Xenopus tropicalis: one gene and its partners. The protein of the gene in region 3 interacts with the protein of the main gene of each other region in a pairwise test. Links are inferred from orthologs where the notes say so. Each region holds a gene or a part of one and is shown on either strand. Other genes may lie near its edges.

What was found. The genes of interacting proteins can lie anywhere in the genome.
Region 1: the proteins of gabarapl2 (region 3) and mlx interact in binary tests that used the Homo sapiens proteins (3 or more experiments, as listed by UniProt). The two-hybrid records come from large-scale screens. The link is inferred for Xenopus tropicalis from reciprocal best matches to the Homo sapiens genes GABARAPL2 and MLX.
Region 2: the proteins of gabarapl2 (region 3) and fundc1 interact in binary tests that used the Homo sapiens proteins (3 or more experiments, as listed by UniProt). The two-hybrid records come from large-scale screens. The link is inferred for Xenopus tropicalis from reciprocal best matches to the Homo sapiens genes GABARAPL2 and FUNDC1.

The regions. Positions count from the first base shown.
Region 1 is NC_030686.2:6,139,896-6,145,034, reverse strand, and holds part of mlx (max-like protein X), read left to right. Parts: intron 1-259; 5' UTR 260-267; coding exon 268-343; intron 344-1,926; coding exon 1,927-2,072; intron 2,073-2,991; coding exon 2,992-3,091; intron 3,092-4,303; coding exon 4,304-4,403; intron 4,404-5,139. UniProt on the Homo sapiens protein: Transcription regulator. Forms a sequence-specific DNA-binding protein complex with MAD1, MAD4, MNT, WBSCR14 and MLXIP which recognizes the core sequence 5'-CACGTG-3'. The TCFL4-MAD1, TCFL4-MAD4, TCFL4-WBSCR14 complexes are transcriptional repressors.
Region 2 is NC_030678.2:55,862,779-55,867,010, reverse strand, and holds part of fundc1 (FUN14 domain-containing protein 1), read right to left. Parts: intron 3,918-4,232; coding exon 3,842-3,917; intron 1,390-3,841; coding exon 1,261-1,389; intron 220-1,260; coding exon 142-219; 3' UTR 1-141. UniProt on the Homo sapiens protein: Integral mitochondrial outer-membrane protein that mediates the formation of mitochondria-associated endoplasmic reticulum membranes (MAMs).
Region 3 is NC_030680.2:64,272,836-64,277,573, reverse strand, and holds the end of gabarapl2 (gamma-aminobutyric acid receptor-associated protein-like 2), read right to left. Parts: intron 3,465-4,738; coding exon 3,292-3,464; intron 2,047-3,291; coding exon 1,956-2,046; 3' UTR 1,482-1,955; downstream 1-1,481. UniProt on the Homo sapiens protein: Ubiquitin-like modifier involved in intra-Golgi traffic. Modulates intra-Golgi transport through coupling between NSF activity and SNAREs activation. It first stimulates the ATPase activity of NSF which in turn stimulates the association with GOSR1.

The DNA.
Region 1 (5,139 bases), on a different chromosome or scaffold from region 3:
CAAGAGCAATTCCAAGAGAGGCAGACCTGTTTTAAAACAACATTATTGGTTACCATGGGTTACTGCCCCTGGGCAAAGTAAGTGCTTTTTAGTACACGCGGGTGGGGTAATGTTTAATTTGGAAGTAGAAAGCGGCCTAATAAATGCATGACGTTTGGGCAATAATCCAATCTGTTGATACTGTAAGAACTGGATCACAACAGACTTGGCATGGGTGCATTCATATTAATTTAGTATATATGATTTTATCTTTTTGCAGTTCCTGTCATGGAGCAGAAGGGAAGTTTAGTGTCCAGAGCAAACAGCATTGGATCCACAAGTGCATCTTCAGTGCCCAATACAGGTAAATCCTAAAACTGTTTGCACATGATTAACCTCACCTTCCACCCATTGAGGGTTGCTCTATTTTATGTTTTTATTCAAGTACATTTCAGGCTTTAAGATTAAATATAAATTCTAAACTGTGAAAAATATTTTCCAAAAGTAGTACAGGTATGGACCATGTTACCAACAATGCCCTGGACCTGGGGTTTTGCAGATAAGGGGTCTTCCCGTAATTTGGATCTCCATACCTTACGTGTACTAAGAAATCATTTAAACATGAAATAAACCCAATAGGGCTGTTCTGCCCCCAATAAGGGGAAATTATATCTTAGTTGGGATCAAGTACAGGTACTGTTTTATTATTACAGAGAAAAGGGAATCATTTAACCATGAAATAAACCCAATAGGGCTGTTCTGCCCCCAATAAGGGGTAATTATATCTTAGTTGGGATCAAGTACAGGTACTGTTTTATTATTACAGAGAAAAGGGAATCATTTAACCATGAAATAAACCCAATAGGGCTGTTCTGCCCCCAATAAGGGGTAATTATATCTTAGTTGGGATCAAGTACAGGTACTGTTTTATTATTACAGAGAAAAGGGAATCATTTAACCATTAAATAAACCCAATAGGGCTGTTCTGCCCCAATAAGGGGTAATTATATCTTAGTTGGGATCAAGTACAGGTACTGTTTTATTATTACAGAGAAAAGGGAATCATTTAAACATGAAATAAACCCAATAGGGCTGTTCTGCCCCCAATAAGGGGAAATTATATCTTAGTTGGGATCAAGTACAGGTACTGTTTTATTATTACAGAGAAAAGGGAATCATTTAACCATGAAATAAACCCAATAGGGCTGTTCTGCCCCAATAAGGGGTAATTATATCTTAGTCGGGATCAAGTACAGGTACTGTTTTATTATTACAGAGAAAAGGGAATCATTTAACCATGAAATAAACCCAATAGGGCTGTTCTGCCCCCAATAAGGGGTAATTATATCTTAGTCGGGATCAAGTACAGGTACTGTTTTATTATTACAGAGAAAAGGGAATCATTTAACCATGAAATAAACCCAATAGGGCTGTTCTGCCCCAATAAGGGGTAATTATATCTTAGTTGGGATCAAGTACAGGTACTGTTTTATTATTACAGAGAAAAGGGAATCATTTAACCATGAAATAAACCCAATAGGGCTGTTCTGCCCCCAATAAGGGGTAATTATATCTTAATTGGGATCAAGTACAGGTACTGTTTTATTATTACAGAGAAAAGGGAATCATTTAACCATTAAATAAACCCAATAGGACTGTTCTACCCCCAATAAGGAGGAATTATATTTTAGGCTGGGGGTAAATTCCCTGTCAATCTGCTCTGCTCCAAATTTCGATACCACTCATGAGAAGGAAATTATGTTTGAACGCAAACTGTGAAATAGCAATTGCAGCAATTTCTGGGCAGAAATCAATAACTTCTTAGCTGATAACTATTAGTTTAATTTGGCACTGTGCAGCACTCTCTCTTTATATGGTAAAGGACAGATGGTTGGTTTGGCTTATCATGGTGTTAAATAGCATCTATGTGCCTCACCGTTTCTGTAGCCTGCAACATGATGGACAATGCTTGTTCCCTAACCTCAGATGACGAGGACAGTGATGACCGCCAAGAGACCATAAAAAATGACTACAAGGACCGACGCAGACGGGCACACACCCAGGCTGAGCAGAAGAGAAGAGATGCCATCAAAGTAAGAATTGAAGGCTACATATTGGGGAAATAATCTGAAGACTGAGGGCTGTCTGCAAAGAATTCACTGTAGATATAACATAATGGTGGCCGGGGGGGCAGCCCCCATATCTACAGTGACTATGGGGCTTGGTGTGACCCCTTGTATCTGCAATGTATTTGCTGTAAACAGCCCATAGTGTAGTGGGCTTGATTATTAGATACTGTATCTATAAGGGTAAGGTTATATTGCAACGGCATCATACATAGGGTCCTGCTTGACCAGGATGGGGTGGGGGTATCAGAGACCGTTAAGAATAAAAGCTTTAGGGGTCATCATAAATTATCAATCAGAAAATAAGGTTGGCCTGTCATATAAGCTGATGCTACAGGGCCAATTAATCTGCTGCTAATTGCACTGGTTTCAGAGCTGCCATATAGCAATGATCTGTATTAATTACTAGTCAGCCTTATATTGTGACATTTATATTGTATATATACTGTATATTGTGAGTGGGTCCCTAAACTCAGGTAAGTGACAGCAGCACATAGTATGTGCTGGGAATCAGCAGAAATGAAGATGGGGGGCTACTGGGGCATCTTGGGGGGCACAGATCTTCCCTGCTAAAGGGCTGTGGGTGCCTTGGGCTGGTACAGAAACCCAAAATATCATGTACATTTACATACACCTAGTATGAATAGGTCCTTTTTTTTTCCTATATGGATTTATAATAGAATAGCATAGAGAGGTGTCGGCACTCATAGGATTTCCACGATCATATTGAAGAGAATACTCATGGGTAAATGCAAACGGTGAGGTTTATTTAGTCCTACGTTTCGGTTCCCTACTGGAACCTTCGTCAGGGAAGATTTATAATAGAATGTAAAGGGCTCTTCCTGGGTTTCTCACCACAATAATGGCTTCTGCCTGTATCTTGCAGAAAGGCTACGACGACTTGCAGTGCATCGTGCCCACCTGTCAGCAGCAAGACATCGCTATAGGAACACAAAAACTCAGCAAGGCTGTTGTTCTGCAGAAGAGTAAGTATTCTGCCCCCACAGTACCCCCCCCACACACATCAATGACAATTGCAACTGCCTTGTATTGATAGCTGTATGGTTATGCGCCATGTAAGGGCCACTTCTGGGTATGGTGTGGGGAGCAGTTATCAGCTGAAATGCTGCTTCGTTGGGATATAGCTGCATTTAGGGTAAATGGATATTATGATTAGCCAAACTAGCAATCTGCAAGCATTTCCAGGGACAGTACCTTCCTGTTCAACATGAGTGTAACAAATAGGACATAAGCCAGATATACTCTCTGCCTGTTGTTTTTATCACAAAAAAATTTATTGTTTTTGTTTCTTGAACTAAACAGGACAAATAGATATGGTTCTTATGAAGTAGAAGGTTAGATTACCAGTGCATAGCCACAGCAGTCCAACAAAGAGTGAAGGGGGTGGGTTGTTTATACAGAGCTTATTATCTTTAAACAAAAGGTGGCTATACATGGTACTGGAACCTCGCTAAACAAGTGGTCTTTCCCCTGATATGCCGACCTTGGGTGGGGGATATCGTGCTAATGCGATTTATTTGGCATAACTGAGCCAACAAGGTCCTTGATCCGACAGAAAAATCAAACCTGCCTGAACTACATCTGACCAATTTTAGGCCAAATATCGGTTGGGGAGGCCTGTCGGAGGTCCCCATACACGGCAGATAAGCTAAAGAACCCAAAAGGTGTATGGCCACCTTTATTCAGCTAATTAATGGTAAAGTGGGAAAGTTTAAAAGCCGGATAAGGCTCTGTTATTGAGTGAAGGGGATGGGTTGTTTATACAGACCTCATCTCTGGTTACGCTAACTCTGCTAATTGATGGTTACATTTTAAAGTTTGAAAGCCAAATAAGGCTCCGTTATTTTCAGCATGCGTTTACTTTTTTTTCTTGCTCATTTATTATTTATTACAAAAAAACCCCACACCCTATGCCGTGTATAGACTAATAGAGAATCAAGCCTTGATTTTTATATGATTAGAGCTGCCCATAGGCCAATGGGGGCAGGTTAGCGGGAGCGGGAAACATTTTATTTCCAGACAGTTCAGTAACGGTGTGGGTGTGTTGTACTGCGGTAAACTAAGGGGGAAAGAGGTGCAATTCATAAATGGGCAAAATAAGGGCAATAAAGCATGAAAGAATAGTAATGTGTGTTTTTTACTCAAGGGCATAATCCATTTTCCTGTCTTTCCTACAGCCATAGATTATATCCAGTTTCTCAATAAGGAGAAGAAGAAGCAGGAGGATGACGTGTCCACATTACGGAAGGAGGTCATGGCTTTGCAGATTATGAAATCGTAAGCTATCCATTGCTATTTGAATGCTTACGAAGGGGGGTGAATAAAATCTGTTTGTGGTTGGCTCACATTGTGCCCCCCTGTGCAACATGCGTGCAATGGAAAGGGCTTGTGCCTATTGTTTTAATCACAAAACATCTGTGGTTTTTGTCTTGAGCTAAACACGGAAACTGAAGCTCTTCCATGTTTGGTCTTTGTGAGGCAGATAATTAGATTACAACTTTACAGAGAATCCCTCTGCTTAAACTGGAGTAGAATCTATTTATATGCAGTTTCTACATACAGGACAAGGAAAGGAATAATTGTTTATATATGTCAGTTCTCGCCAGGACATGGGTAGGGTAAGAGGCTCTAACAGAAACCTATAATAAATGCCATAACGTTGAAGAGAAAGTCCAGTATCATGCAACTTCTATAACGGGGGTCCCCAACCCTTTTTACCAGTGAGCTACATTCAAATGTAAAAAAAAAAGACACAAGCACCGAGGGGTGCCAAATAAGGGCTGTGATTGGTTATTTGGTAGTCCCTATGTGGCCTGGCAGCCTAAAGGAGATTTTCTTTTATTAGTACATCTGTTGTTTTATGCCTCCAAGCCAGGAATTCAAAAATAAGCACCTGCTTTGGGGGCCACTGGGAGCAACATCCAAGGGGTTGGTGAGTAACATGTTGACTCCAAATGGAAACACAAGAAATAAGAAAGTCTATCTTCTAGACCAGTGGTCCCCAACCAGTGAC
Region 2 (4,232 bases), on a different chromosome or scaffold from region 3:
ACCACGAATATCCTAAAAAATAAAAAGTGTCTTTTTTTCTGACAGGCATTACTCAGTTTTTAAGTGTATTTTACACAACCTTTGTTCTACACAAGTTTAAGTCCATATTTCCAGATCCATTCTCCGTTTTCAAGTAGTTTCTTAAGAGGCAAGGCCTAGTAAGAACCCACCCACAAACCCTCCAGATACAACAATATTCTTCTTGATAAAGTCAGTAGACTGCAAAAGAAAAAAAGAAAAGAAATTAGGAAATTTGAATACAACACAAAATGCTTCAAGTTTATTCTTTTAGGCTAAATAAAGTGAAAAGTGCTTGTGGCCACGCCCAATAGATTTTGGCAGAACTGTGTTCACCAAAGCATTTCAAATCACTCACACATCTGAATTGATTTATATCACTTTTTGTTTGACAAGTTTTGTGGGACTTAACATAGTGAACTTCATTCACTAATAGCGGCTTTGTTCACGGTTATATGGACTACATATATTGCATCAGATACGTTCCTAAAAATAACAGGAACTGCAACCATATCACTATTGAACGGGTGGGGTAGTGTTCAGTGTTGGAATAACCCCATGCCAAACCAGGGATACCTTGGGGTCTGACACCACTTGCTGTTTCTCTGCAGGCATTGTCCAATAAGGCTGTAGCACTAGTTACATATGTACCCCAGCCTATAAAAGAGTCACACTAGAGGACCTGCACAGAGACACCACCACATGGTATCTCTAAGATGTGCAATAGGTATATATCTACTAATTATTCACCTATAATTCAGTGATACTGACAAACCTATTACTGGAACACTACTAACTTTATGCATATTTTGAAGGACTTAAATTTGTGAGTATAACACTGAAATGATACAAGAGCTGGTAACCTCTTGTAGGTGCCTCTGCCGCATACTAAATCAAGGGATTTGTAAAAGATAAATACACAAAAGGCTTAGCTAGGTGGTGTTCCTGTGTCACTTATGTCTGCTCTATTCTTCTGCAATAAAAATTTTTGGCTAGGTTTTCCTTTAGAAAAGATTGCATTTCAATAAATGGCTTCTGAAACACATTTAAAGGCACCAATTGTACAAAAATAATTCTTCCCCCAGCACAGCCTGATAGAGCCTGCACTCTGGATGGGAAAACAAAAAAAAGTGTATTGGGCTTTGGGACATTCGGAATGCGGTTTCTATAAGCCCACAGTTGCAGTAGGGGGGATAATATTCACGCAATATGTGCCCTTTAAGCAACATTTTAGGCTCTTACCTCTTCAATTAAAGTGTTAATTTCGGGTACAGACTTATTTGCTTCCTTTTTAATCTTTCTCTTTGCTTTGTTTACATCTTTCTCAACTCTCTTCCAATCTATTTGTATATATCCACCATGACTGGCAATCTGAAGAAAGAAAAATAAAGATAGAAGATTAGAGCATAAAGAATGATACAAAACCATACTTGTAGGTATGAAAATTTTGAGGTGTGGACAGTGGTAAATTTGCACCACATACGCTGCTCTAATGCTTCCTTCAACAACTTTTCAACATTTTTTTTTTTTTATTAATGGCTTCTTTTGCACCACCCTACTTTACATTATCCCAAACACAAGACCAAAGTAACAACGGAGAGGCTCAGTAAAAGTGCAGATCTCAATCAAGCTCAAGAACTTGGGGCATTATTAGTAAATTGAGGTGCATCAATGTAATTCGGCTAATGCAAACAATATGGAGAAAATCTGAATAAATGAATGAACCAAAATCAATTCTGAATGGTGTACAAAACTGGTATGTACTTACTCTAAAAGACTTGAAGCTGTAATTGCAGAAAATGGTTTTACAAAAGGACTGAATGAAACGTCTGCTATTTTGCTCACCCATTAGTATGTTGCAGAATGCCATATTCCTAAGAATTTTTTTTAATTGGTCTTCATTTTTTATAGTGGTTGCCTTATTTGTCTTTCGAATTGGGGGGACAACACAACCCCCGACTGAAAAAAGCTGAATAATTCAAAAACAACAAAATTAACTGCAGATTTTTTGATTGTACTTGGATGTAAACCTCTGTGGGACAAGGACCTCATTTCTCTTGTCTCTTTAATATTTAGCACAACTTTACTTTGTATTTATTTGCATTTATTATTGTAATGACCCTGTTTGTTCTATCAGTACTTATTGTTAGTACTGCATGCATAAGTAGCGCTGTATAAATATATGCTTACATACAAAGTGGCTCAGAATATTAATGTCTACATCATACTACAAAAGGACTGAACTACCAATTTCATTTTGTGTCAATATATTTTTTACTTTCAATGTGTTAAGTATGCGGTGTAAGTCAAATGGTTAAAATTGTGTTAAATAGGGCTAATATACCAGCTCATAGATTTACAGTGATAAACTATGTGTCCAAAGGCATGATCTGTAACTTTCATTATGGTGCCCTTATTGATTCAGGGGTGCCATAGTACTTACTGGCTTTAGAACTGTGGAATAATATTAAAGGAGGACTATACCCCCAGGCGCTAAAAGCCCCCTTAACTATCACTGCCTAGACCCCACTCACCTCTCCCTTATCGCATAGTTCCTAAGTTTAAACGCTGTCCCTATCGGTAACCTCTAGCTAAAAATGCAAAATAGCGCAGCAGTGTTCCTGGCCGATATCTTCTTACCAACTGAAGACACTTTGGGTCTTTCTGCCAATACGAACCTGCTTGCGCAGAATAAGGTAGCAGGAAATCAGCTTCACCTGCGCATGCGCAAGCAGGGTCTGTGTCAGCGGTAAGAACCAAAGAGTCTTCAGTTGGTAAGAAGAAGTTGGCCAGGTACGCTGCTGCACTACTCTGCATTTTTAGCTAGGGGTTAGCGATAGGGACAGCGTTTAAACTTAGGAACTATGCGATAAAGGAGAGGTGAGGGGGGGGTCAAGGCAGTGATAGTTAAGGGGACTTTTAGCGCCCAGGGCTATGGTTCTCCTTTAAGGAAGTAGGAGAAACTGCACAAAAGTAAGGCAAGAACAAACAAACCCCTTGCAGTAATCTGTCCTGGGGTATTTTTCTTCTTAGTCCCACCATATAACAGGCATGAGATTCGTTATCAGCAAACCTGCTATCTAGAAAGCTTCAAATTACGATAAGACCATTTCTCATTTTAATAAAATAATTTTTATTTATAAAAATGATTCCCTTTTTCTCTATAGTAATAAAACAGAACCCTGTACTTGATTGCAACCAAGATATTATTAATCCTTATTGGAGGCAAAACAATCCCATTGAGTTCAATTCATTTTTAAATTATTTTTTAGTAGTCATAAAGTACAATGATCCAAATTACAGAAAGATCCCCAGTAAGACACTAGCCATGAAGTAGGATGCATGACTGCCCAATGCCCCAGAAACCTTCTGGTGTCGTAGACAGCCTGAATGGGTTGTACAGGAAAATAGGAACTTTAAAGCAAATGTATTAAGTTACTGTGCATGAGCACTAAAACTGCACCAAAACTGTGGAGAGGACTGCTGAGCAACAGGAAATCATGGCAGAATCACTCATGAACTAGTACTCAGAGCAGGTGTCTAAGGTATTATATCCACTGAGGGTGTCGAACACATTCACACCCCCACAATGAATACTTGTCCTTTAATAGGTAACATGAGAGGAGTGTCAGCAATAGAATGGAATAAAAGTCAGAGAATAGGTATTTATTCCCCCAGGCCCAGACCATTTTTGCAATCTGCTACCCATAGTATCATTGATCACTGCAGAACTGTGTAAGGCTCCACATTTTAAGACATCACATCCTATATGTGTAAAAATCGTCACTTGCTGCCAAAAAATAAGAAAAATGTTATTTATTACCTGAAGCAAAAGGAAACCCCCACCTACTGCTGTTGCAGCAAGTTTGCCAACTTTTTGAAACAAAAATCCTGCACACCTATAAATAAAATAAACATATTTGAATACATTTAGCAGTTATATCAATATATACTCTAAGATTTCTAAGTCTGTATGATATATAAACATGCAAATCTGTGTATAAAATGCCCACAATATAGGCACATTCTATACTGTATTTGAATACATAAAAACTATCAGCAAAACTCACTTGTAATCCAGCAGCTGGATTATATTATTGAACCTTGCTGGAAACCTCTGTGATGCATCCATGCATGCATGTCTACTGAATGCGCTATGTGGCCGGGCAGCATACTGGCCCTTAAGAAAATAACTATAACCAAGAATGTTCTTA
Region 3 (4,738 bases):
TTTTCCTGCAAATTAAGGGAACTGTTATGGGTTTGAATGCCGCTCTGTCCTATGCAAAGCTGTACATGGATGGCTTTGAAAGAACCTTAATATATGTGCATAGTAAGTTTCAGAGATACTGTAAATATTATAGGTATATTGATAATGTGTTTGCTATATGGACAGGGCGGCATTATGACCTAGTGAGTTTATAGATTTACATTATAGTTATAGTAAGCCCAGAACAGAAACAAGTCCTTTACTTTGATGTTCTAATTGGGAAACAAAAGAGCAGTCTTTTGGGGACAGAAATACACTGGGATTTGACTCCTATCCCTCCTACATAAAACAGTTGCTTCCAAAATCTTTATTCAGGAGAGTATAACATTGTTCAAAATAAGCTGCTATAGGACAAAAGGTTGGATGAGATCGAACACGAATTTAGAATAAGAGGATACCAAATAAAATATCAAAGAAATACTCTTATGGGAAAACGTTTTTTGTTTTTTTTAAATCCATTTGAAATCAAAAACACAGATTTTTTTATATTTAATTTTGAAATTCCATATGGGGCTAGCCATATTCTTCAATTCCCAGGTTGCCACAGTCATATGACTTGTGCTCTGATAAACTTCGGTCACACTACTGCTGAGCTGCAAGTTGGAGTGATATCACCCCTCTACCAGCAGCCGATCAGCAGAACAATGAGAAAGTAGCAAGATAGCAGCTCCCAGTAGATATCAGAATAGCACTCAATAGTAAGAAATCCAAGTCCAGCTTGGGACTCCTTCAGTTACATGGGAATAGAAGAAACAATAGGTTACCTGAAAGCAGTTCTGATGTGTAGTGCTGGCTCCTTCTGAATGCTCAGAATTGGGCACAGAGATGGCGCCTACACACCAATATTACAACTAAAAAATACATTTGTTGGTTTAAGAACAACATTTTAAATGGTAGAGTGAACTATTTGCTATGTAAACAGTGTCATTTAGAAATAAAAAGTTCACCATAAATATCATGACAGAAACCCTTTCAAGGATCAGAGAAAATCACTAGCTGCAACAAAAGGAGTCGCCGGTGGAAAGCCCTATTGCGGGTGACTCAACCACTCTTCGTACCCTTAGGATGGAATCTCTCAGGAATTTGGGCTTTTAAAGGAAAAGTAACATTAAAATTTTTAACTAAAAAATCTATTCTACCCTCCCCCAATAATTGCCCTATCCTGAAAACCATTTGTTATTTTGAATGCTTTAGTAGAAAATACCTGTAAAAAACTTGGCTTCCTGTCATTTGAACAAAGGCGATATGGTGATGCCGGGGAAAGTATCAGGAGATGCATCAACTATGCGGCGATCGATTGATAGAGCCTAGCCTGATCTGTGTATAGGAAGGAGTCAGGCTAGGAATAGGACATTCTATAACATACTAAACATTAGCATAAAGGTGAACCACCCCTTTAACACTAAAATTGCTTTTGGTATGTAAATATCTTGGGACAGATATCACACAGAACATTTTATTGTATGATAATAATGTACATTTATTTGATGGATTTTGTAAAGTTGGACTGTTACATAGCAGTAAGAGGACGGTTACTGATTAATGGCGTATATTCTTATGAGTCCTATGAAAGCAGGCCTAAAATGAATCCAGGAGTATTCTGAATAAAACATACAATGTTCATTTACTCAAATCACACTTTCCATTATGTGTAAATGGCATAATATAACTGCTGCTAAAGGAACTGTCACAATACCCTTTAAGCAGCAATGTTAAATGACAGAACAAGAAAATAATAATAATAATAATAATTAAATTATCTTAATTTACTAGCCTAAACACAAACATGAATACCAAGACATGTGCATTACTGAAATGTATCCAGTTTTAGAAGTGTTTCCTAATGGATGGGAGTTTATGTGTGGTGTTAAAACAAAACCACCTATATTTACAAGATTCACTGGCTGTAACTAGACTCAAACACCAAATGTGTTCTCTCCACTGTAGGCCACATATAAGAATCCATCCTCGTCTTTTTCTTTTTCGTAGAGTTGTCCCATTGTTAGGCTACAGATAGATGAGAGTAAAGACAAAACATTTAGTTGAAAGTTTACTATAACTTCTTATTTCAGCACTGCAATCCATTTTATATAAAAATTATAGAAAAAATATCAACATAACATTAAAGAATGTCCAAAATGTATCTTAAGTGTGACCTTAAAGGAGAAGGAAAAGTAAAAACTAAGTAAGCTTTATCAGAAAGTTCTATGTAAATACAGCCATAAGAACTCACAGAAAAGCTGCACTGAGTCCTCTATCAAAAGAAACACAGGATTTTCTTGTCTTCTTTGTAAACATGTTCTTATGTCACAGACTTTCCTCTCTCAAAAATATCCTTCATTCCCGGGCCAGAGTCTGCACAGCTCTCTCCTCTCTCTCTTTTTCTGCTCCCCCCTCCCTTAAGAATGTGTAATCTGTGCGACCAATGGCTAGAGCTGCAGCAGGAAGGTATGAAGACCAAGCTAAAATGGCAGCTGCTATCTTAAACAAACGGAGGGAGCTTCTAGGGCTCTTTACTCAGGTATGGTAAAGCTTTCTGCAGAATAAATATAGCATTGTAGGTGGCACTAATGTGGTGAATCTATTGGCAGTAAAATGCCAAAATTACTTTCCTTCTCCTTTAAATGGAAAAATATTTTTCTTAGCAGCTTTCCAATATTGTTTAATTACAAATGGTTAATAGTTCTAAAGTTATCTGTAAATGTAGTTACTACTAAAAGCAGTATCTGTCCGGTTTAATTATATTCTCAAAAACTGCTGGTTCGGACTAGTGAAACAAGGTAGCAGTAGCCAGCTGCTAAACAAACATGGAGAACTGACTTCTGCTACACTGTTTCAAGACCCAGGACCAAAGACTGGATGGGATATTACATTTACATTTTCCTACATTATGTGGAGATGCTCCTCCTCCATCTGTGGAGGTATGGTAGTTTATCGGGAGGGGAATGCCAAGAATACCGGTTTCATTAATGTCTGAAGCAATTGCTGCTATGTCATTTTCTAATGATTTTAGAGGAATGATTACTCTGCTAGCTGCTTCCATTTAGTAGTTCCGCCTCACATGAGCAACTGCAGTGAGCACATTATGTAATGTTAGGGAATCATTACAAATAGATTTTCTTCTTGAAATGTTCAATACTTTTTTTGGGGGGATGTGTCTTGGAAGTCCTTAATAATTTTCCAGGCAGTACATTCAACCTCAGGTATTTCTGTGCTACGATAAAATACATGTTTGTAAATAATTCCACTCACCTAGACTGGGGCACAGTCTTGTCTACAAACAAGAAGATTGCTTTCTCTGATGGCAACTGAATCCGTTTTCTGATTATCCACATGAACTGGGCCACTGTAATGTCGGATGGAACCAGGTACTTCCGTTTATCGATATCTACAATCTGGGAACCTGAAACCTTTTCCACAATAACCTGGAAAACACAATAAAAAAAACTGTATAAAAAGTTATTATAAGGCTTATCAGAGGGAAAAATACATGGGTAATATAAATCCATATCGTAGAATGTTGTAAATGAGTTGCCTTCCTCTTTTAACTCTTTGCAGTTTTTAAATAAGGCTCACTGTTACTTTTTATTCCTTATGTTCAATGCATCCTACTCATATTGCAGTCTTTCAGTCAAACCCCTGCCTGGGTGCTAGGATAATTTGGACCCTAGCAACCAGATAGCTGCTGAAATTCCAAATTGGAGAGCTGCTAAACAAAGCTAAGTAATTAAAACCCCCCCACAAATAATGTAAAATGAAGCCCAACTGCAAATTGTCTCAGAATTTCATCATACTAAAAGTTAATTTAAAGGCAAACAACCCCTCTTCTGCCAGTTTCCCGGCAGTTAAAGCTGGGTTGGGGAGCTGCCTCAACTGTGTGTACTCCCGCAAGCTCTCTATAAGTTTAGTGAATGAAGAGGATCCAAAAAGACAAAAGATGACATCTGTCAACTCTGCTGCGCACCTCTGCATGGTTGTGATAGATTCACAAGTAGGAACACTTTTGAATGGAATATACTGTTATACATACATACATACTGTGCGGAGATGTGGTCCACTGGAGGCCAGTTAAGGGGGGCTGGGGATTGCGGGGGTTTAGTTCTCCTTTATGTTGTTATAGATTACATATAAATGTTTATAAATAAATTATTATTTTGCTGCCATGTAGAATATCCTGTCTTGTGATCCCTGTATAGCATAGATGGCAACTAAAAATACAAAATGTTTTTTTATTCAAACCGCATCAGTTTAATATAGCTTTTCCAGCAGAATCCTGCATTGAAATCTGTTTTTCAAAATGTAAACAGGTTTTTTTTTTATATTTTTGTAATTGTACAAGGGGCTAGCCATATTCTCTATTTCCCAGGGTGCCTCAGTCATGTGACCTTTGCTCTGATAAACTTCAGTCACACTTTACTGCTGCGCTACAAGCTGGAGTAATATCAGCCCCCCCCCATCCTTTTCCCCACAGCAGGCGATCAGCAGAACAATGGGAAGGTAGCAAGATAGCAGCTCCCAGTAGATATCAGAATAGCACTCAATAGTTGGCTGCCTACACACCAATATTCTTAAAGGAACAGTAACACCAAAATATGAAAGTGTTTTAAGGTATTTAAAATATAATGTACAGTTGCCCTGCGCTGGTAAAACTGGTAAGTTTGCAACAGAAACGCTACTATAGTTTATATAAATGAGCTGC